Macaca mulatta: one gene and its partners. The protein of the gene in region 3 interacts with the protein of the main gene of each other region in a pairwise test. Links are inferred from orthologs where the notes say so. Each region holds a gene or a part of one and is shown on either strand. Other genes may lie near its edges.

The links.
Region 1: the proteins of C5H4orf19 (region 3) and EIF3E interact in binary tests that used the Homo sapiens proteins (3 or more experiments, as listed by UniProt). The two-hybrid records come from large-scale screens. The link is inferred for Macaca mulatta from reciprocal best matches to the Homo sapiens genes PGCKA1 and EIF3E.
Region 2: the proteins of C5H4orf19 (region 3) and PDCD10 interact in binary tests that used the Homo sapiens proteins (3 or more experiments, as listed by UniProt). The two-hybrid records come from large-scale screens. The link is inferred for Macaca mulatta from reciprocal best matches to the Homo sapiens genes PGCKA1 and PDCD10.

Annotation. Positions count from the first base shown.
Region 1 is NC_133413.1:118,487,122-118,495,436, forward strand, and holds part of EIF3E (eukaryotic translation initiation factor 3 subunit E), read right to left. Parts: intron 7,691-8,315; coding exon 7,576-7,690; intron 5,758-7,575; coding exon 5,640-5,757; intron 1,643-5,639; coding exon 1,600-1,642; intron 555-1,599; coding exon 450-554; intron 1-449. UniProt on the Homo sapiens protein: Component of the eukaryotic translation initiation factor 3 (eIF-3) complex, which is required for several steps in the initiation of protein synthesis.
Region 2 is NC_133407.1:79,300,500-79,308,814, forward strand, and holds part of PDCD10 (programmed cell death protein 10), read right to left. Parts: intron 6,261-8,315; coding exon 6,143-6,260; intron 4,848-6,142; coding exon 4,721-4,847; intron 1-4,720. UniProt on the Homo sapiens protein: Promotes cell proliferation. Modulates apoptotic pathways. Increases mitogen-activated protein kinase activity and STK26 activity. Important for cell migration, and for normal structure and assembly of the Golgi complex.
Region 3 is NC_133410.1:36,810,634-36,818,948, reverse strand, and holds the end of C5H4orf19 (PDCD10 and GCKIII kinases-associated protein 1), read right to left. Parts: intron 4,112-8,315; 5' UTR 4,090-4,111; coding exon 4,058-4,089; intron 2,855-4,057; coding exon 1,939-2,854; 3' UTR 1,252-1,938; downstream 1-1,251. UniProt on the Homo sapiens protein: Acts as a tumor suppressor. Acts as a tumor suppressor for colorectal cancer cell proliferation by targeting KEAP1/USP17/ELK1/CDK6 axis.

The DNA of each region.
Region 1 (8,315 bases), on a different chromosome or scaffold from region 3:
GGAAAAAGGTTACTACTAAGGCATAAAATATTTCATATACCCTTATGATTCCACAGTTGTTTAGAACAAGTTCAAGGAATATACATGCCATAAAGTATTAAATCAGGAATAATGGATTTACTCAACAATATTAAACACCTACAACGTGCCACTCACTGTGCTGTATAATATTATAATAATAAATCCATTACATGATATGATTCTGTTAATGCTAAAAATCATAAAATTGTTCCTACTTTTGGATTTCAAGGACAAGTTAAATCACCCTCCAAATTTTCAGGCCCTGAAACAAGGTTTCTGTTTTTCAGTGGTTTTCTTTACTTTTTTCTCTTTGGCTAATGACTGTTGAAAACTTAATGAACAAACGCAAATCTATATACACATTTTGAAGAACCAAGGGAATCTTACAAAAGACAAAAAAAAAAAAAAAATCAAGTACTTATACTTACCAACACTCTAAAAAAATAAAGATACTCTGCAGCTCCTGAGTAATTCCCACATTCGTACTGGAATTTTGCATATCTGTAGAGTGTATCTAAATATTCCTGCCTAAACTAAAAAGAAAAAAAAAAGATTAGGTTCTCTTTAATTCAGAGTTTTAAAACCCCATTGTAATTCGTAAGTCTTTGAGGTCAAAACTATGAATGTTTAATTCACCAACTTCTAATGTATATTTTAAAATCTATCTCTGATTATGGTATTTATTTTTGGTGGCAGCTTTTGGGCGACTTAAAGAACTGACCTCTGGAGTTTAAGAAGTAAATCAACGGGGGTTGTGCTGGGGGAGGTGGTTTCAGGATGAAACTGTTCCACCTCAGATTATCAGGGCATTAGTTGAATTCTCATATGGAGCGTGCAACCTAGATCCCTTGCTTGCGCAGTTCACAATAGGGTTCGTGCTCCTATGAAAATCTAATGCCTCCACTGATCTGACAGGACACAGAGCTCAGATGGTAATGCTTGCTCACCTTCTAATCACCTGCTCTGTGGCCCCCTGGTACTGGTCCATGACCTGGGGGGGTTGGGGACCCCTTAAATAATGAATTATATGCAAAGCCTCATGCTTTGAGTTAACACAAGGGAAATGAGATTGAGTGATGGTTAGGAAAGCTTCTAACATTTCTTTGTGAATCTGGGGACTTATAAAGACTTTGATAATTTCAAAGGCCATTGTGTTCCACAAGGCGGCCAAAGTATTACCTAATTCTATTGCTCAAAACATTTCTAATTCAAATTTCATTCTGTTTGCCTTACTTGTTAATCCATAAGAAAAGGCATCCTATGCCCTATAATATATAATACTTAGCTTGCTGTTGGCACTAATATAAAATGCCAACAACTACTGCCAGCTATTACAACTCTGGAATAAATAAAAGCTTTGAGAATTTCTGTTACCTAAAGGTGAGCTATAAGCACCTATTTTCCTATCAGCAACAATTTATAAAAACTGAAGTTTTAAAAATAGAACCAGATTTTATCATTAATAAATTAATCTGGAAATTATATTCTTAGGCCAAGCCATGAGCCTATCTGTACAAACCAGTCTTTAGTCAGCATTATTAAAACATAACAACTTTAAATTATTTTTAAAACACTTACACCATGCTTGTCCGCCAGGTAGTCAAAGAGCATCCTACCATCCCTAAATGATAATTAAAAAAAATTACAGTATTTTAAAGGCCACAGAAAACAATATAAGCATATCCAACTTCTAAATTATTACCTATGCAAAGTCACCTTAAATAAGTACGTAAACGTTATAAGACTTCCAGAATAAAATAAGCAGGACATTACATGTTTTGAATGTAAAGAATTAGTAAGTATACAAGGAGAGCTACAAACTTTAAAATTCACTTTCAGATGTCTTTAGTTCTAATTGAAAATTAGTGTTGTTTCACCACGACTAACGTAAGGCCTTTAGAAGTCTGTCAGGTAATAAAACCAGAAGATTCTGACTATTTCTAGTAAGGTCAGAAGTCTACTTAGTGGTAATCTATTAAGAATGGTTTTTGCTCTCTGTGGTCAGATTTCTAATAGATAATGCAGTCTAATTATAGAGACTGATATAAATGTACCATGTACAAACTACAAGAAACTAATCCTATATACAAATTTTGTCCCCTCTTCCAATCTGTTAATATTTTTCAAAAGGATGATTCTGACAAATTTACAAGATTAATAAATCATGCCTGGCTGGCCACAGTGGCTGATACCTGTAGTCCCAGCACTTTGGAAGGCTTTGGGAGGCTGAGGCAGGTGGATCACCTAAGGTCAGGAGTTTAAGACCAGCCTGGCCAACATGGTGAGACCCAATCTCTACTAAAAATACAAAAATTAGCCAGGCATGGTGGCGGGTGCCTGTAATCCCAGCTACTTGGGACGCTGAGGCAGGAGAATCGCTTGAACCTGAGAGCTGGAGGTTGCAGTGAACACAGATGGCGCCACCGCACTCCAGCCTGGGTGACAGAGTGAGACTGTCTCAAAAAAATTAATAAAAATAAAAAAATCATGTCTCATGTACATGACAGCTATGCTACATACCCTACATAATCATTAGGTATAACCAAGTGCCATATTTAATTTTTCTTAAATTAGCTTTGTGTTATCTTGAGATGCTGACAGACTGGTAAAAGACAAACTGATAATAAAGACATCAAGGGACAGGGGATATAAGGGTAGCTGCCCACCTTATGAGCATTTTCGTTGTTACTGTTTTTTGAGACGGAGTCTCACTCTGTCGCCCAGGGTGGAGTTCACTGGCACGATCTCGGCTCACTGCCACCTCCGCCTCCCGGGTTCATGCAATCCTCCTGCCTCAGCCTCCCAAGTAGCTGAGATTACAAGCATGCACCACCATGCCCAGCTAATTTTTGTATTTTTTTTTTGAGATGGAGTCTCGCTCTGTTGCCCAGGCTGGAGTGCAGTGGCGCGATCTCGGCTCACTGCAAGCTCCGCCTCCCGGGTTCACGCCATTCTCCTGCCTCAGCCTCCCGAGTAGCTGGGACTACAGGCGCCCACAACCGCGCCCGGCTAATTTTTTGTATTTTTAGTAGAGACGGGGTTTCACCGTGGTCTCGATCTCCTGACCTTGTGATCCGCCCGCCTCGGCCTCCCAAAGCGCTGGGATTACAGGCGTGAGCCACCGAGATGAAGTTTCACCATGCTGGCCAGGCTGGTCTCAAACTCCTGACCTCAAGGGATCTGCCCACCTTGGCCTCCCAAAGTGCTGGGATTACAGGTGTGAGCCACTGCACCTGACTGCATGTTCCAAAATGAAAACATTTTCTTATCCTTCTCACAGAAGAAATATGCTACAATGTATCTTAGGGAGCACAATTTTGCTTGAAGATTTAATGGGGTGAGATATGTCCCCATAAAAATATAGGTGTATTATAATACTGAGTATGAAATGTACATGAAATTCCAACACAGAAGAACTTCCACAAAAACTGAACACTTGCAGTGGATCACAGTGAATAACTTTGTATTGCACTACTTACACCACTCACGTATATAATCACTGTCCTCTGGCTGATTATTTCCGGGAAAGTGTTAAGTATGATACTATATGTTCAATGAAATTTAAAAAGGGGGAATTGCAAGAAAAAGGTTTTCACATTGAAAATAGGTAGTTTGTAAGTATAATAAGATTACAAGTTTTTAACACATGATCCTTTCATTTATCTCAAATTCAGTACCTATTAAGCTACAAGGATCCTCTTTTTCTAACTGGTGAACATATCTACATTCATCTTATTCATACTTTGATCCCATAACTCCCCAGTCTTTGAGTGACTGAACTACAACATCCTAAATTTTCTGTTGTAGTCTAACAACTGGATTATTTCAGGTGTCCCTTTGTAATCACCTACATGTGACCTGAAGATCTAAAACTACTTATTCTAAAAGCATACAAGTAGTTTAGTATAATATATAGTTCTGCCTATGCATGTAATGTGTGTGTATATATATATCTCTCTGTGTGCGTGTTTTCCTGCATATAGTCATCCCTTGGTATCCCCAGAGCATTAGTTCCAAGACCTCGCCTACCCTCTACTCACCAGCCCCCTCAAATACCAAAATCTGCAGGTGCTTAAGTCCCTTATGTAAAATAGCACAGTACCTGCATGTAAACTATACACATCCTCCCATATACTTTAAATCATTTCTAGATTACTTATACCTAACGCAACGTAAATATCATATAGTTGTTGTTATACTGTAGTTTTATTTGTATTTTTTATTGCAGTATTGTTATTTTTTAGGTTCTTCTCCTGAATATTTTCAATCTGCAGTTAGTTGAATCCACAGATGCAGAACAGAGAGTTGACTGTATTTATATGTAGTATATGTCATAGTATAGTATAGTATGCTATAGTATGGCACAGTAATTGTGTATTTGTTGCTTTTCTAAAAATATCTGGTAACATCTTCACAAATCACAAAGGAAAACTTAAGAGCCAATCTCTAAAAATTTGGTTTAAACACATAGAAATTAAAGGTATAACATGGCAAAATATCCAGCAATTCCTCAAGTGAATTCAATGGTAGCTAGGATTTATCTCAAATGATAATATTCAATTTTAGTAAGAGATTTTATTTTTAAATGTTTCTAATAACCCAAAGGACTTCTACCCGTGACATGTACTAAGTCAGAGTAAGGCAACATGCTTACGAAACAGTAAATCTACTTCCAGGTAAAGGGAAGTTAGGAATAAAATAATCTTATCAGCTCAAAACTACCCTCCTTGGGCGAGGCATGGAGCTTAGAAGGGTATGAAAGAATGTAGCCAGGAATAAAGTGAACTCAGGTTTCTCTTATAACGAGTTGTGCTCTAAAGCGCTAGGTATTGCACAGGCACAGGGTTTCTTTTTTATTTTTTCCTGAGATGGTATCTCACTACATCACCTACTTTGGAATGCAGTGATATGACACTGACTCATTGCAACCTCCACCTCCTGGGCTCAAGCCATCCTCTGACCTCAGCCTCCCAAGTAGCAAGTAGCTGAGACTACAAGCGTACGCCATCACGTCTGGCTAATTTTTTGTTGCTTTTATTTTTTTGGTAGATAGAGGGTTTCACCATGTTGCCCAGGCTGGTCTCGAACTCCTAGGCTCAAGCGATTCGCTTGCCTCTGCCTCCCCAAGTGCTGAGATTACAGGCGTGAGCCACCACACAGTGGCACAGCGTTTCTTAATGGACATTTTGAGTTAGGTAATTCTTTGTTGGGGAGTAGCGGGAGGGGTGCTGTCCTGTGCACTGTAGGATGCTTAACAGCATAACTGGTCTCTACTCACTAGGTGCCAATAGCACCCCCCAGTTATGACAGCCGAAAGTATCTCCAGACATTGCCAAATGTCCCCAGGAAGAGGGAAATAGGAGATGGAAATTCTGTAGCATAATCAGTACAGATAAGTACTAAAGAAGTTTTTTAAAAAAAAAAAAACAGTATTAATATTAATATTTATTAATTATACTGGCCCCTACAAAATAAGGATAAATGAACATTTAAAAATGAATAAAGCACTCATTTAAACCTATGAACTTTTACTGTGGGATACTGGATAAAGTTTGAATTAACATTTGTATTAATCCAGAAACGAGAATTTTTCGAATTCAAAATTAAGAAGAGTTTACCTGGTTGACTGCATTTGCCTCGTAGTTTCTGGATCTTCAAACATCTTCACAATTGGTTCTGTTTCTGCCTGAAGCTGTTTCAGTTGTGCAACCACTGTGGTTCTTTTCTCTCTCAAAGCTAATTAAAAATGCAAAAGAGTACTACAATGGGCATGTTAAAGTGTGCTACTCATCATGAGAATGTCTGGAAATTGTTCAGAGTATTTAAACCATACATACATTTACTCATCCCCAATATATTCATATGCCAGGGGCTACTCACTCAGAAGTGTCCCCCAATCCCTAATTTCTTTTTTCTAGTAATACAAAGCCACAAAAAGGAAAAGGGAATCCTCTTTCTACTCTTAAGGGTAACTGGAGAATATACAGCCTTGGGGTGACAGAGGTGAAAGAAAAAAAGGGTAGGACCCAATTATCTATCATTTAATTCTCCATTGCAGAAACTTCATTCCAAGGGTTTTTATATTTGTTCCCATTTAATTTTCTTAGGTGAATATTATCCAGGAGTTTTTGAACAAAAACTCTGAGGGGCTTACATATTACTATTACAGGCTATCCACTAGGTTGAATGGAATTTAAATCCATTAAATAATCTCTTTTAACTATAAATCCAGCTCTATAACCTCTCAAACCAAATTCTATTGTTCCTTTTACTATACGATGAAAAGGTGGAGAAAACTTGCACATAACCAACTCTGGTAACACCTTAATGTTTCATTAAGAAACTAAGAAATAGGCCGGGGGCAGTGGCGCCACGCCTGTAATCCCAGGAACTTGGGAGGCCAAGGCAGGCTGATCACGAGGTCAGGAGTTCGAGACCAGCCTGGCCAATATGCTGAAACCCCATCTCTACTAAAAATATAAAAATTAGCCAGGCATGGTGGCGCGTGCCTGTAGTCCCAGCTACACAGGAAGCTGAGGCAGAAGAATCACTTGAACCTGAGAAGTGGAGGCTGCAGTGAGCCAAGATCACGCCACTGCACTCCACCCTGCCTAAGAGTGAGAGACTCTGTCTCAAAAAAAAAAAAAGAAAAAAGAAACTAAGAAACAGTTTCCTTTTTGTTTATATATGACAAACTAAAGAAGAGCTACTGTTGTTGCAGGGAACTACAAGTCAAACAGGTGGATTATGTTTAATGTAATAATTTCTGCATTACATATTAGAAAGTATATTCTAGAGCAGTCTTTCTCAAACACAGGAGAAGATCTATGATCAAATTTTGAGAAATGCCAATTTAAACAGAGTATACTGTATTTCTCTACTGCCAGAATTCTTGGAATCTTTAAAAATGTAATGTGCATTGAAGAAATGACACAGAAGTATTTCCCAAACCTAGAGAACCACTTTTTTTTTTTTTTTTTAAGTAACGTTACCACAGAAAGCAAGGGTTTGGAAAACACTGTATCACAGTAGTTCCCCAACTTGAGTGCTAGGCCTCACTTAACAGTTTTGATTAAGTAGGTCTGGTGTGTGGTCAAAAACCTGCATTTCTAACAAGCTCTCCCAGGTGAACTGATGACGGTGGTCCTGGGGACCATATTTGGAGAACAATGTCTACACTAGATGCCTCAAAATTAAAATAAAATAAAAATCTCTAAGGCACACAATGCAGTAACTAAAAAAGGTAGCAACCCAAGAACTGCAACATTCTCAGAAAATTCTAAGGAATGTGAATCATAAGCACAACTTTGATGATACATACTATGAACTGAAGGTATCTGATGACCATATTTTAAAGTAGTTCCACATCTTTCACAGGGAAAAAACAATACACTTCAGAAGACATGAAACCTTTATATAACCTCTCACCCAAAGAACATTAACATTCAAATAATAATTAAGTCTTTTGGCTAAAGCTCTCTTATAAATCATAAAACTTTAATACACATATCCTCAAGTCACAAGACAAGCTTCAATTCTAATGACAAAACTTACCATGAGGAATATCATCAGAATAAAGGTTTTTGTATACATCCATAGCAAAGTCTACCATGTTGGTATCACTAAGAAGGTCCAATTTACCTTGTAATAATTCCTTTTCATTATATATCTGAAAAAGAAGATAACTTTCTAATGAATATATTTAAGTCCCCCAAATAAACTGATTAATACTAAGACTAATTTACCTGGAAATATATTTCAAGAAATACTTTATAAAATATGATAAACTATTAACTTCCCCCTCTTGTAATAATGGCAAGCAATATGGCAAGCAAACAACCTACAGACATAAAAGTATTTTACTTACCTAAAATTTTTAAAATGAAGAGAATTACTATAGACATTCCAACCTCCTTCTGATTTATATGATCTTATTTTTTATATGTCCCTACAAACCATCTCTTATCTTTTCTAGGCAAGGCTGTGGATAAACAAAATCCACACCATCTTTTCTGTAAAGCAGAAATAGCTGTCACCTCTCCATATCCAGGTAATCAGTAATAAACTCTAACATGCTTCTCCATCCACACTGCTGAAACAAAAACTGCACCGATTTTTTAGGTCAACCATATCAGACCAGGCTTTTGCTTTGCAAAGGGTCCAAAAAATATAATTTAACCTATAGTACAGGCAGCAAATAGATACATATACAAACTCACATCAACATGAAGTGTGCTGAGTAATATATAAAGATTCTACAAAATATTCAGGGACATAAATGCTTCAGCAAAAGA
Region 2 (8,315 bases), on a different chromosome or scaffold from region 3:
TAAAATGACAGAAGTTAAGCAACTTATATCCAAGGTTACATAGCTAAATGTTGGAATGGAGATTCAAATCTAGGTCTGCTAATATATTCAAAACTGCCTGAATATTTATTAGGTGTCAGGAATCTTTTTTACTTGTACTTTGATACAATCTACAGCATCACCTATAGTACTTGGTGTAATATGTGTATGACATATGCTTACTGAAAAATGTTGCTAAAGTGAATAAAGGGGATAACTACCTTAGATACAAGAAAGTAAAATATTTGAGAAATGCCTAAAGGAGAAATAATTTTCTATCTTGGTGCAATTTTATCCACTAATTTGTCAATTAATAGTGGTAAGAACATATATGAAAATGTACCAATATATGACAGTATACAAATAATTATACCTTAGCCTATCTATGCTATTCATATGTGGTTGAATTTTAGTCTCAGAAATAACATACATATCAACAAACTTGCCAGGGTAAATTATCCCTCCTCAAATGGTTAGGAAGTAAATTTTCATTGCCACCATTACCCTTAATTCAATCATGCTAAATGAGTACACTCTAGACAACAGAACTGAAGTATTATTACTCCCTCATAAATGAAACAACATCCTACAGAAAGTCTCTGTCAATGATTATGGACAAGACTCTTAAGCTCAATTTCCTTATGACTAAAATGTGCTGTTAATAATGTGGTTTTCAAACGGTAGCTCCCTAGAGTCACGGTTTAGCAGAGATGTCTCAGGGACTCTGTAGGGGGAAAGAGGATGTCAAAGTGACAGGATGAGGGCTCTGGGCCTACACTTCTATCTCAGCTTCAACCACAACACCGTTATCTCTCTCATGTACTGGCATCCTATGTTAAAATATCCTTTATCACATTTCTTTCAAATGGCAGAAACTTTATTTTTCAATCTCCAAATTAGATCAACATTGTAAATCGATGATTGGGAAACAGCAGTGAACTTGGCGTTAGGTTGCCTGGGTTCAAATCCAGCTCTACCACTTAATAGGTAAGGTCTGTGGCCTTACCTAATTTTCTGTGCCTGCTTCAATTTCCTCACTTGTTACTGGGTTGTTGTGATAAGTAAATATATGTAAAATGATTAAAATAGTGCTTAGCATATAATAAGTACTATATAAGTGATTGCTATTAAGATGACATTGATTATATAAATGTACTTTGATGATGTGAAGCAAAATCTGCTGCAAATATTATTTTAAATGTCAAATCTTCATAGAAATGTATCATGGCTCATCAACAAGTCCATGATTATCAATGCAAATGAAAACTTACCAAATTATTTGAAAACTTTAGAAATAAATAGTCTAAACAATCAAGTTTGGGATCATTGACTTTATCCTTTTACAGGCCAAACATATTTACTTTATACACAGCGAGTACCCCTTAAATGAAATGCTTGAGACCAGAAGTCTTTAGACTTGGGGATGAGGCCCAAGTATAAACATGAAATTCATTTATGTTTTATAAAGTGCATCCATATATGCATATATGTTGTGCATAAAATAAAGTTTTGATTGTGTTTTGCCTACAATCCATCCATCACATGAGGTCAGACGTGGAATTTTCCACTTATGGTGTCATGTCACGGTGCTCAGAAAGTTTCGGATTTTGGAGCATTTAGAATTTCTGATGTTCAAATTAGGGATGCTCAACTTGTACCAGATTAAAAATAAAACTCCATAAACAGTGGATTACCTTCCCCCTTCACATATTAAAAGCAGAAAAGGAAGCTGGGGCTTTCCTATAGGAAAGGTAGAATACAAAAAAAACCCCATAGGCTGGGTGCGGTGGTTCATGCCTGTAATCCCAGCACTTTAGGAGGCCGAGGTGGGTGGCTCACAAAGTCAGGAGATTGAGACCATCCTGGCTAACACGGTGAAACCCCGTCTCTACTAAAAATACAAAATATTAGCCGAGCATGGTGGCGGGCACCTGTAGTCCCAGCTACTTGGGAGGCTGAAGTAGGAGAATGGTGTGAACCTAGCAGGTGGAGCTTGCAGTGAGCCAAGATAGCACCACTGCACTCCAGCCTGGGCGACACAGCAAGACTCGGTCTCGAAAAAACAAAAACAAAAACCCAACAAACAAATAAAAAAATCCTTAGGGTTTGTCCCTTGTGACACAGATTTTGGCTATTCAATTAAAAGCCTTTTTCACATTCCTGGTACTTAATTATTGTCAAAGAGTAGGGTCATTCCTTGATAGCTGGGTGGCATACCTATCACACACCATTATTTTCTAGGGGACATATTCCTCTCTTTATGTGACTCAAAAGATAGTATCCAAACTAGCTAGGTATCCAAACAAGCTAAAATAGCATTTCTCAATGTGAACGACAAAGAATACTATTTTCAAAAGATGAATGTTTTCTTTTTCTTTCATAATTGAGATTTTATCTGTTGTGTTGAGGATCAGTACACAGACATTTCAACTTGTACACAATTCTGAACATACGTACTGCAAAATCTAAAAAGCCACGTATCCTTATTATTCTTTAAAGTTATTCCAGTGACTTTCCAGCTTACAACTGAGGCAAAATTTCCTTCAGAGGCTATCAAGTACCAGTACCTTCAAATGTTGATAAGCTGTCACATACATCCCACCAATTCACAATTTAATAGCATATACACTATATACTTTAATCTTTCACAGCACATTAACAAAATTATTAGAAAAACAGGACTACCATGACCAAAGATGTTACAGAGTGCACACAATTCTGAAAGGGAGAGCCAGGCTCAAGGAGTGGTTTGCCCAAGGAAATAATTCCACTAAAAAACAACAGGAAGAAGTAATTTAAGGTCAGGTGTGGTGGCTCTCTCCTGTAATCCCAACACTTTAGGAGGCCAAGGCAGGAGGATCACTTGAGCTTTGAAGCTAGAGACCAGCTAGGGAAATGTAGGGAGACGTGGTATCTATTAAATATCAAAAAAAAAAAAAAAAAAAAAAATTAGCCTAGTGTGGTGGTGTACACTAGTAGTCCTAGCTACTCAGGAGGCTGAGGTGGAAGGATTGCTTGAGCCCAGGAGGTTGAGGGTGCAGTAGGTTATGATCACGCCACTGCAGTTCAGCCTGGGTGACAGAGTGAGTAATTAAAAATGTTCAAGACATTAAACGCAGCACTGCAACTCCACTTTGCCATTTAGTATGCTTTGTATTATGGGATATAAAAACTAACCACCCATTTATGGAATGTTAAGCTGACACCCATAACAATCAAGGCTTCCCATAATTCAATATCCAACATTATTTTCTCATTGTACCAAAAAATAACCACAAATTACATTATTTCACCTCTTAAAAAAAAAAAGCATTTACACCGAAAAAATGGGATGAGGTGGAATTTACTCCTTAAATGTTTCTAGAGTTACTAAAAAACTTGCATTTACAACATAGTTGATAAAAATATTCCTCTGGATTATGTAAGAAGAGAGACGGGGAACCACTGATAAGACATGGTATGCGATATTAATCAGACTGGGCTTCTTTCTCTCCTGCTTCAGAGGCTGGACTCTCTTCAGTTTTAGTTTTTCTGTTTTCCGCAGGTAAATATTCTTGGTTAGCCACTTTGGCCTGTTTTCACTTTGCTATTCTTTTCTTTTGTTTGCGCTTTTTTACCTGAAGATTTATCCTATCCTGCTACCCTTTGGGGATTCATTTCCACTACTGAAAGAGCAGGTTTAGCTGACAACCATATCCATCTCCTTCTGGGCTTTTCCTTCACTGTCCTGTCAGCTGAGCTGACAGTCCTCTTGGGCATCCTGGAAGTGGGGAAGGCACATATCGGATGCATGTGGGCCAAGGCATACTGAGGGCCTTCATGAAGCTGGGCTGCCTGGCTACTGCCACTCCTCCCACTGCCCAATCTCCAAAAGATGAATGTTACTATTTATTCCAATTGAGTCTCCTTAGGTTCTTCAAAGTTACCAAATATGTCAGAGCCTCTTCCAGAAAAAGACCTGTGCTAAATCTCCTTCCCAGTAATATCCACCTATGGTTTCACCAAAACCATGCACTGATAGTGACACTGCAAGTATTTCCAGCTTTGTTTTCTATTCACTGAGGCTGAAGAAAATTATCATACTCTCTAGTTTAAAGATACTTATGTAGGGATTATGTTTTCACCCAATCCCCTACCCTCTCACTCCTCACTGTACTCCAGGAGGGTGTCCCGGGTCTGAGAACTACTTCTCTAGGATGACCCTTCTGCCTGCTGCTCACCAGCCAGCCTCCTGGCCCCTGCATATTCTTGGTCTTATTTAACCTATATCCCCCAAAGGCAAGGATTTAGAGGCTACTTGGTCAGTCTTAGAAAATGCTACTCATGCCTAAGAGTACATTACTTACGTTAATGACTGCTGCCATTTCTGAAATAAAAACAATTTTGGTATCTCTTACTACCAATCTCTAGGATATATCCAGTTTCTCCATTTATCTGACATTTATATTTTCCCATCATTTATGTAGTTCAAACTACATTCCAGTTTACGCACATTTCATTATTGTTTTAAAATTAAACACTCTAAAAAATGTTGTACTCTGAAACCAAATGCCATAAAGTTAATAAAATGCAGTATTTAACAATTCGAGATTTTATTTCAAATTAGCATTTCAAGTTAATGTCATACCAAAATTAAAAAATGTAGATGAATAGTTCCTCGGAAGTACTTTTAAGAAAAGAAACAAAACAAAAAATTGCTTACTTGATTGTCTGCAGAAACCTCACTCTGTCATTGATCTCATCTGGGATCTTACTGAGAATTTGTTTAAGTGCTCGTGCCTTTTCGTTTAGGTCTTGGAATTCTGGCTCTGGTCGCTCAATCATATACTCTGAAAAAATAAATACATAATAAAAAACATCCTGCGACTCTGCCAAATTCACTTCTAAGAATTCCCAATGTTGGTCAAAGGCAGGTGGGGGAGGTGAAAGGCCAGATAAATAGGAAAGACAAGGTTGCAAAGTAGAATTCATTAACATTCGACTTAGTCCAGTAATAACAGCAGGGCTCCCTTCAAGTAAAGTATCAGAAAAAGAAAATACAAATATTTTCAATTTGGGATAAAAGGAAATCCCATGAAATCTTACAAAAAAAAAAAAGCAAACAAACAAACAAAAAAACAGATTGAAAAGGCAGGCTTTACATTTCCCAAGGAAACCTTAAATTAAATAATGAGTGTCATAACTAGCGCAAAGGTAATATCTACTTTCCAATTAGAAAGATTAAAAATTCTAAACCCCTATATTAAATATACATTGCTTCATTATATTAAAACCCCAAATAATCTAATAAAATCTTCTACATATTCTTGAAATCTCACTTAAAAACAAAAACATTAGCACAAATCCAACACACGGGCTGGGATCACAGAACAGCAGTTTTGGAAAGGAGGTTCAATCAGACTTTACCAGATTCATTGCAGACTTGGAAGCATTACAAATCTACCAATTCATCAATATATAATGGCCTAATGGGCTGCAAATGCTCAACTCTAAATAATGATAAGGGCTTTTTTATAATCATGGAATCAGTTAAAATATCTGCTTTTTGTTCTCCCTTAATAATTATGGGAAATCGTGTGTCCACGTTTTTCTAAATTAGTGGGAGAACTTCTACTAAAGTAAAACCAATGTCTAAATAATTTGAAGTAAAAAAATAAGAAAAGCATGGTTATATTGTTCCCTTAAATCTGTGCTTAAAAAAAGATGCTGTACTAAAGTTAAAAAAACAAGCAAACAAAAACCTCATTACTTCCAAACTATTGTTTGCTTAAAGTCAACACATTCCAAATAGCTTTACTAAAAGGTTTTTAGTAAAACTGAAACTCATCAAACATAAAGGGGGAAAAATTAAAGAATGAGGTATAAACAAAGTTCAAGTAATTAAATCTCACAAATATAAAAAGCAAGAAAAACAATTTTTCTATTTTATCTAGATTAGCTTCTACTCCTACTTCTACTATTACCACCACCACCACCACCACCAGCATCATCGTAAGTAAAGGCAGGCGGGGGGTGGGGGGGGGGGAACAGTAGGGAAGGAAGTTCCTTTAGTCAAATAATAATGATTTAGAGGAAGTGCTATTCAACAATTGTATAATTTAAGCAAGGTTCTTCTTTCTGATACCTTCTACATCATCAGCTGCCATACGAAGAAGGGATTCCGTGAAGTTAACTTCTACACTTTTTTTCTCTAAAATTTTCATAATGATGTCTTGTGTGAGACCTGGATTTTCCTTTTCAGCCTATAATAAAGAGAAAACTAGTTTTGAAATACAGATAAGGAATCAACATTTTAAAGCCAAAGTTTAACTGTTTAGAATCTTTTGGGAACGTCTTACACTGATAAGTTTTAAGGGCAGAAATCTTTGTAAAGCAGGTGTCATGATGGCATTCACTAAGGCTTTGTTAGAGCTTGTGCACCCAACTCTTTATTATGACTAAGGTTCCATTTTCCATTTGAATAGAAAGAACTTAGTGTTTTCTATACCTTCTTTACACTCTCTTGCAATTGAATTAATAAAGATATATGGATTAGATATGTTTTAGTAATCTATCAATTACTATTCTCATTACTTGAAATATCTTGAGAATTTTTTAAGCTTTTTTTTTTTTTGAGACGGAGTCTCGCTCTGTCGCCCAGGCTGCAGTGCAGTGGCCGGATCTCAGCTCACTGCAAGCTCCGCCTCCCGGGTTTACACCATTCTCCCGCCTCAGCCACCCGAGTAGCTGGGACTACAGGCGCCCGCCACCTCGCCCGGCTAATTTTTTGTATTTTTTAGTAGAGATGGGGTTTCACCGTGTTAGCCAGGATGGTCTTGATCTCCTGACCTCGTGGTCCGCCCGTCTTGGCCTAATGCACTAATATTGCAATTCAAGGATCAAGCAATAACCCATCTGACTAGCATTTTGCATATTCTTTTCATTTATATTAAGAGAATGCCAGGAAAAATAAAAAAGGATTTACTTCAAAGGTTTTACTGAACCTATATAATAATATCTTAACTATTTTCCCACACAATGATTTTCATTTCCTAGTTTATTTTTGTAGCAAGAATATTTCCTTCACTGGTTTCTAGAACATCATTAAACTTTTACTACCTTTTGAGCTTGTTTCATTGAGTTTGCATTGGTTCTATGTTACTTAGACTTAGACTCCCCAGGACACTAAAATTTTGTAGCCATTTCAAGACTCTGCATAGAGTTCTCAGTTTACCAAAGCCAGAGTTAATTTTCAGATTTCAGTTTTTCCCAGTAAATTCTGTAATCACATTTGATGTTTGTTTCCTTTAGGAAGCCTGCCAATTTTAATCATTATGCTGATGAATTTCCTTTTTGCCCTAATATTAAACAACAAAATAGAAACACAATTTACGATCTTAATCAGAAGACAATCTTTTTGTTTCCTTATGTGTCAAGCACACTTAACCTCTGCCTCTTCAATTCCACTGATTATCACTGCAGATACAGTTTTCTTCTCTTCCTACTGCTCTTTCCATTATAACATCTTGCTTCTCATTAGATCTCAAGTATCAAAAACTGAAGGGTCGTGGGATGAAATGAGAAAAGACAATACAAGCATTTATCTCAATCTCAATCCTGGGATCATTTTAAATGCTGTCAAATACTATTCAGGAAAATCATTTTGATTTTGATAAATGATTAATAACAATAAACTGTGTCTGACTGAACCCTGTTTCTTTTATAGCCTATGATGACTTTTCCTTCCACGTATATTTCAAAAAGAATCTATTTTTTAGCCAGGCATGGTGGGGTGTGGCTGTGGTCCCAGCTACTTGGGAGGTTGAGCCCACGGGTTCGTGGCTCCAGCGAGCTATGATCATGCCACTGCACTCCAGCCTGTGATACAAAAATGACCTGGTCTTAAAAAAAAAACAAAAAAAAACCAAACAAACAAAAACTATGTTTTTTTTTTTAAAAAGGAGTTTCCTTTACAAGATGTCCAAATATGGCTTAAGATGTGTTGTTATAGCATTAATGTGGTGAACTGCCACAAAATTACATCTAATGTAGCATTCGGTAACAATATTTTATCTTATCTAGCAATAAATCTACCTATATAATGAATTACCTTGGGGAGAGGAGGACCATTCTCTATGTGCTTGTAGAACGAAAAAAGAAAAGCATTATTTCTGATTAAGTTATAATGAAGTACTGAAAGGTTTAAATGCTGAAAGTCTGAGAATAAAGTTTTCAATACCAAGTTGCTCTGGAACCCCAAAATGCTAAAGCTAGATCATTACCAAACTCTCGCAGATGTCCCTAACTTTCTCAGTTTT
Region 3 (8,315 bases):
GTTTTATACTAAATAATTATCAAAATCAAATAATGACATATATACACCTCCCAGTATTAGAGTTTTCAGTTGTGAGGATGTAAAAATGTTTTTTAAAGGAATTGTTTTCAACCGGTAAGACATCATTTTTGAGTGCCTAGTGTCCCAGGCACTGGGCTAAACACATCATTTCATTTAATCTTTACAAGCACATACTCTTATTATTCTCACTTCACAGATGGGTAAAGAGAAGGGATACATAACTTGCCCAAAGTCGCATGGCAAAGCTGGAAATCAAACGAAGTTCAATTTCAATTCTGTGTTACAAAACACCAAACTAAAGCATCTTCCATGTTTATTTTTTTTTCTAAATAGTTTTGAGCATGCTTAATGCCTTTAAATTCTCCATTGAGTTATGTTAGAATGGTTAACCTTGTTTCAATGAATTAGAAGGCTGAAATCCAGAGAGGGCTTAATTCATCTTTGTGATAAGATCAGGACACTTAGTTATGGCATCAAGTTTAACTTGAGAGAGAGAAAGCCAAAGTCATGGCTCTGCAAACCAACTTGGTCCCTTTTTTGAGTATAATTTTGTAGTCTAGCTCTTTTTTTTTTTCCATAGAGATGGGGTCTCGCTAAATTACCTAGGTTGGTCTTGAATTCCTGGCCTTGGCAGTCCTCTCACGTCAGTCTTCCAAAGTGCTGAGATTACAGACATGAGCCACTGTGCTTAGCTTAGCTCTTTTTTTTTTTTTGAGATGGGATCTCGTACTGCCGCCCAGGCTGGAGTGCAGTGGCGCGATCTTGGCTCACTGCAACCTCCACCTCCTGGGTTCAAGCAATTCTCCTTGCCTCAGCCTCCCAAGTAGCTGGGATTACAGGCGCCCGCCACCTCGCGCGGCTGGTTTTTTGTATTTTTTAGTAGAGACGCGGTTTCACTATGTTGGCCAGGCTGGTCTCGAACTCCTGACCTCATGATCCACCCGCCTCGGCCTCCCAAAGTGCTGGGATTATAGGCGTGAGCCACCGCGCCCGGCCATCTAGATTAGCTCTTTACATTGAAAGTAATATCTAGGGTCACTGATATTCTGAGAAAATTAGAACCACCTTTGAGTTAAGACAGAAAGACACATACGTTGTTATATTTTAATTAGAGTCAGACATTTAATGGCATAAAAACATTGCATATATGGCTTTGCTGTTCTGAAAGTCATGAACTTAAAACCCAAATATGACACAAGCAGTTTTAAGACTATTTTGGCCAGCCTCCCCAGTCCCAAAGGAGATTCAAAAGTAATAATGCAAAAAAGTTAAGGTCAAGGTGTTTTAAAATCACATCTCAGCTAATGACTAACCTTTTGTTTCCTGAGGACTTCTGCTCTACTGTGAAAACTGCTGAGCTTAACCCGCTGTTGAACAACTGGTTAGTTCTTAGTTCCCTGGGTGAATTGTCCCTGAAGTTAAGCCATGCTCTGGGGACACATGAGGCACTTTAATTGGGGTAGTTACTTTTTCCAGGTTGGGTACAATGTTTGGCTCTCAAAAGCAAGGTAAACAGTTTACAGTCAAAAGGAATCCTCTGTGATTGTGTGCCTTTGGGATCAAGGGTTGAGATCTTAGAGTATTCTCATAAACATCTGTACCAGGTGCTCAAAGATGTTTGAGGGTTGTCAAGCAAGCTGTTCAATTTCTGCACTTTCTGTGGATATGGGCACAATGACCCACTCAGATTTTTCTCCTAGTGTCCTGAATGACAGCTCATCGACACAGAGTGAAACTCCAGATATATGACAAGCAGCATGGGACAGATGCTGACAATCAGAACAGATGCTGGATGTAAACAACTGGTCAGGCTGCACTGGTGCATGCTGGGAGAATCACCTGCTCTGCATCCAGGGAGCAAATGCATCTGCATGCTCAGCACGACACCAGCTTACCTCCCTGTGCAAATCCCCTCCCCTAATCAGCCTCATCCAAATCTTCTCCTGCAGTAGCAGCTTCTAAAGCCGCAAGGGCCTCCGCCACCGCTGCATCCTCGTCCACAATCTCCCCATCTCCGTCTCCATTGGAGCCATGGGCATCCTCCTGCCTGTTTCCTGAGTCAACCACAGGCATGGCATGAGCAGGACCCTTCTCATTAAAGCAGATGCTTAGAACTTCTGTTTCCACATCCTCATTCAATGAATCCCAGCTTCTCCTCCCAGAGAAGGGCGTATTCAAACCACGCTCCCCCACTGTGGGCTGAATTCCCTCAAGGGACTCATCCTCAGTATGGTTCTTGAAAACACGGTCCTTTTCATTATGGTCAATGTTGTCTCCGGCTGGACCCCAATGCTGAAGGTAATCTGGGGCTGGTATCTGGAAGACACGGTCTTGTACTTCTAAGGCAAAACTTTCTGCCTCAGAAGGAGCTCTGGAGTCTCCATTTCTCATGACTTGGGTTCCTTCTGAGGCCAGCAGCACACAGTCCTGTTTCCTGGTGTCCCCTCCTTCCAGGAAGGGTTGAGTTGGGGGAACTCCAGTATTTTCAGTACTGGTCCAGGAGCCCCTGTCATCCTGGGCAGGGCTGGGATTCCCAGCGGGCTGTGGAGCGGCAGCAGGGCCGATGCCATTGATGCCGCAGGCATGGTGTTCCCCTCCAACATCCCCCTGCGGGAGCGGCCCTTGGTGAGGCCAGCAGGGCTCCCGTGGGTTAGCTGTCCTGCTGCTGCTCTCAGTCTTTTTTGAGCCCTGCCTCTGAGAGTCATTTTTCTGCACCAGGACTTCACTGTTCCATTTGCCTTTTAATTTATCAGTGTCGTCTTCATCTAGCTTGCAGCTGTTGACTTCATTGACATAGCCAGGAGAGGACACTTGAACTGGATCAAAGAGATAGCTGCAGGGAGGACAACGAAAAACCAGTCAGGTCTGCTCCATCATTAAAGATTTTTACCACAGGCCCTGCTTCTTTCTACGAAACCTGCTAATTTAATTTCTGTCATTACTCTTTTCAACCTAGATAAGTGTGTCTAAATCAAATAGATATAGTTGGTATAAAAATGTTCGGTGGCTCACACCTGTAATCTCAGCAATTTGGGTGGCCAAGGCGGGTGGATCACTTGAGGTCAGGAGTTCGAGACCAGCCCGACTGACATGGTGAAACCCCATCTTTACTAAAAGTACAAAAGTTAGCTGGGTGTGGTGGTGGGCACCTGTAATCCCAGCTACTCGGGAGGCTGAGGTAGGAGAATCGCTTGAACCTGGGAGGCAGAGGCTGCAGTGAGCTGAGATCACGCCCCTGCATTCCAGCCTGGATGACAGAGCAGGACAGTCTTGAAAAACAAAAACAAGGTTCTGCCGGAAATACATCTTAAGAAGAGAGCCAAAAGGAGGAAGGAGGGTTAGGGGGTAAAGTAAAATACAAAGTGGTTCATAGAATTTTAAAACAAAAAACAATAAATAAAACAAGTGTCCACTAATAGGGCCATAAGGAGTATACCCTCTCAGTGGAATATTATGCAGTCATTAAAATGATAAATATGAAGTCTGCAGTCACAGGAATGATACTTACAATACATATTTTTTGAATAAAGCCAAACATCACATTATGATTACAGTGGAATAAAGCTTATTTATGTATGGGTCTAGAATAGAGCTACAATTAAAAAGACAGTATATTTGTTAAGAAAGCAAGATCATCAGTTACTTTTCTTCCCTTTATCTTAGTTAGAAGTTTATGTTCATGTTACTCACAGTTTTATGAAATGCAGTGTGGACAAAATTAAAAGCACATATGTGATTGGGGTGATTTATTTTCAGCGATGCCATTTCAGGCATCCTCAGAAACCCAGACCAAATTCAGCCTCAGAAAATGATGGTGTTCCCAACATGCTTTGAGAAGTGAGCAAAAAAAGTTAAGAAAATCTAGGGCACATGTTCTTTTCAATGATATGATAACAGTTCCAAACTCTTAATGTGCTGGCAATGTCGATCATGCCCCAAGCTGGATAAATGCTCTGAATACATGCATGGTCTTTAAAAGTGACTCCACGCTCATCACAAATTCCTCCATTTAGAAGTAGTATTTCTCCAGCTTTACCTTTGTATTATTTTACAGCACCTGCACCCCATCTGGATTGTTTTCTGTTACCACCTGGAAAAGAAAGCGTAAAAGGTAGAGAAGACAGTGAGTGATCTCTTAGTAGGAATTAAGTTTGCTTTTTTTTTTTTTTTCCTAGAGACTCAAAGTGTATTAATAGTCACACACTTTGGCAAAAGGGTAACTACCACATGGGTCAGAGAGGGCGCTGGTAACCAGGAACACCCCATTTCCATCACTGCTTCAGCGTTCTCAGACGTTCACTGACACTTGCCTCTGTGTCAGACCTTTCTCCCAACCCTGGGGTTCTGTGTTTCATCCCCATTTTACAGATGAGAAGGTGGAAGGATGCTAGACAGAGAAGGGACTTCTGCCATTTCCTAATCTGTTACCTTCTACAGAGGACACAGGAACCTCACCAGGGCACAGCCCACTGTGCAGCAGCAGCAGGAGCGGGAGGAGATTCTGAGCGGGCTCCTTGCCAGGGCATTTGCTCCTCAAGGGTTAAAGGATGCTGGAATAAGCTGGCGGATCTATTGTGTCCCATGATTCAGACACTGAGGAGCGTGACAGCCTGAATCATTGCACAAGCTTCAACCACACTAAATTTATCCTGTGTTGCTTTTCCCGCCGCTGGGTCAATCTCAACATCTCAACTCTGATTCGTGGACCTGTTCTTTTTAGCTCAAAGATATGCCCCCTTAGGCTTCCCGGCAGAAGGTGGAATTCATTTCCCACCTGCCCACTGTTCCCTGGCCCCTCCCCAAGCTGGGCTTTTCCCGATCATTTCCTTTGGAACAAAATCTTCTCTTCATATAAGACTGACCATGTTCGCCTCTTCCTTCCTCAGAATATCCTAAAAGTGAGTATGGAAGCATCTCTAAGTTACTTCTCATTTCTAAAGTCTACAGCTTTTATTGTTATTATTTTTTTGAGACACAGTCTCACTCTGTCGCCTAAGCTGGAGTGCAGTGGCGCAATCTCGGCTCGCTGCAACCTCCGCCTCCCAGGTTCAGGCGATTCTCCTGCCTCGGCCTCCCAAGTAGCTGGGTTTACAGGTGGGTGCCACCACGCCTGGCTAATCTTTGTATTTTTAGTAGAGACAGGGTTTTGCCATGTTGGCCATGTTGGTCTCAAATTCCTGATCTCAAGTGATCTGGCTGTCTTGGCCTCCCAAAGGTTTGGGATTACAGGCATGAGCCACTGTGCCGGGCCTACAGCCTTTAAAAAGACAAGCCAAAACAGAATCTGCATCCCCAGTCCCCTGTCTCCATGAAACACAGGCACCAGAAAGAGAGATCATTCATTGCTGGCTGTGTCTCTGTCTCCCCTGTTGTCCCTCTTTCCTTCTTTCAATCATGGATGAATTTCCAGGGATGCTGCTCCATAAGCTTTTGCCCACAGTGAACATGATTGGTGCTTTTTAAGAAGTATAGATGGCTTGGTCAGTTAAAAGGGACTAGATTTACATTAAAAAAATAAAATCCACAAATAACTCCCTATGGTAGGCTGAAAAATGGCCTCCAAATATCCACATCCTAATTCCTGGAACCTGTAAATAATACCTCATATGTCACCTGAGTCCGCAAATTAAAGGTATTTGCAGATGTGATGAAGTGTAGGATTTTGAGATGGTATAATCTGCCTAGTTTATCTGTGGACTCTAAATACAATTAAATAAATGCTTATGAGAAGGAGGTGCAGGGACATTTGATTATAGACAGAAGAGGAAGAGGAAGAGGCAATGTGATCAAAAAGGCAGAGATCGGAGCAAGGAGGTCACAAATCAAGGAGCACTGGCAGCCCCCCAAGTTGGAAGAGGCAAGGAACAGATTTACCCTTGGAGCCTCTGGAAAGAGTGTGGCCCTGGTGACACCTTGATCCCTGATACCCACCCCTGGATCAAGCCCACTGATACCAATTTCAGACTTCTGGTCTCTAGAACCGGGAGAGAATATGCTTCCATTGTTTTGTTTTGTTTTGTTTGTTTTTTTGAGACAGAGTCTCACTCTGTCACCCAGGCTGGAGTGCAATAGCATGATCTCGGCTCGCTGCAACCTCTGCCTCCTGGGTTCAAGTGATTCTCCTGCCTCAGCCTCCCGAGTAGCTGGGATTGCAGGTACCTGCCACCATGCCCAGCTAATTTTTGTATTTTTAGTAGAGATGGGGTTTCACCATGTTGGCCAGGCTGGTCTTGAACTCCTGACCTCAGGTGATCCACCGACCTCGGCCTCCTAAAGTATTGGGATCACAGGCATGAGCCATCGCACCCGGCCGCTTCCATTGTTTTAAACCCCTCAGTTTGTAGTAATTTGCTGCAGCAGCACAGAAAACTAGTAACATCCCCAAATCACTTCATGCTTGAGGACCAAACCCCCCTTGTCCTTCCAATTCTTCCTGGGAGGACTCATGGAATGCGGAAGAGTCCCTCGGGCCAGCCCTGCATCTCTTGCCACCCTTTCTTTCCTTACTGTGCTTCAGTTTTCTTCCTAGCATGTGTCACCACTGGACATTCTGTCGTAGGTTTGTTTGTGACCCACCTTTTCCACCCTTCTTCAAGCCTAATCCTCAGCACTTAGGATAGCACCTGGCACACAGCAGGCAGTCAATACATGTGGAATGAATGAACGATTTAATGGCTATAGATTAAAAATGAGAGCACTATCAGTGAACCTGTTGTGTGTCTGCAACCAATCAAGACATTTCCAGTTTGTGCCAGCCACGTCACCCAGGTGTCACGAGGGTGGGCTCAGGAGACAGAAAACCCTGCTACTATGGGACTTTGGGCCTCAGTCACTTGATCTGTAAATGGGGATAATAATATTTCTACTATGTGGTGTTGTTGGGGATCATATGAGCAAACATTCATAATAAACATAGACCAGGGGTGTCTCACCCACCCCTGTTTGGATACAGCATATTAAAACACCCCCCACCCCCATCAAAAGAAAAAGATGGAGGTCTAGTATCCAAGAAAGATGTAATCTAGTTGCCAGAACCTATGGATACAAACAAGAGTATTAACAATGTCAAGTAGGACTTGGTTCTGGAATAAGGGCTAAATGGCATATTTCTATCAGCTGTGACAACAGTTGAAACAACAGTCCCATAGAGAGAAAAATCACTTTCTCTATGGACTGTGTACACATGTGTAACATTGTACCTTTCAGAATACTCTTAAATTACCCCATTTCAAAAGCCCAGGATTTTGTCCCCAGCCTCTACTCTTCCTTTACCTTCCTTTTCTGCTAATAATTCATAGATGAGCTGGATAAATAGGACAGGCGAGAAGCAGCACATGCACCTCCTCCCCTCTCTCCACACCTCTCCTCTCCCCTCCCCTCCCTCCACACCTCTCCTCTCCCCTCACCTCCATCCACACATCTCCTCTCCCCTCCCCTCCCTCCACACCTCTCCTCTCCCCTCCCCTCCCTCCACTCCTCTCCTCTCCCCTCCTCTCCCTCCACTCCTCTCCTCTCCCCTCCTCTCCCTCAACACCTCTCCTCTCCCCTCCCCTCCTGACCCTCCCCCTCCACAATTCACTCTGAAATCTTGACCCTTTTCATGCCTGCAATAGTTTGTTTATCTTGGACTCCTTAAAAGTAAACAAACCAACAAACAATGACAACTGGTCAGGAGGATAGGTAGTAAAAACAAACAAACAAAAAGGTCAAAGAAAAGGAGAAAAGAGCTTAGAAGTGTTTGAGAAACAAGGAAGGCAGACTGGATTGTAATAATGTAACTGAAGCAATCATAAAACATTACTCATTGAAAAATCTCAGGTCAACTTTACGATGGTGAATTCGAAAGGTGTACAGGGGAAGGCAAAAGAAAGGAGGAAAGAAAAGAGGGAGGAAAGACGAAGGAAGGCAAGAAGGCGAGGAAAAACAGGCAGACACATCCAGAGTGACACCTTGCATTCCCAGCTCCTCAGAGGCTGATCAAGACTGACCCTGGGGCACCCTCCATCCCCGCCTTCTGTTGCTATAGCCAAGACCACAGGAGCAGGCTGCACCAAATGAAGTGACTGCGGAGATTTAACAGCCGCACTCGAAAACTGCCCCTTCCCTGCTTCTGAAGGAAACAGATATCATCTGTGGCTTTTAGACTCCCCTCCTTGCCCAGGAAAACCACAGGATCTATACTGTTCTTCCAAGCTGTGCAGTTACAAAGGATGTTGTGGTGGTTTTCCTCTTTCAGAATCAGGTTTCCAGTTTGGTTCCTCCCCCGCTTGCCTCCCATTAGGGCACCCCACATG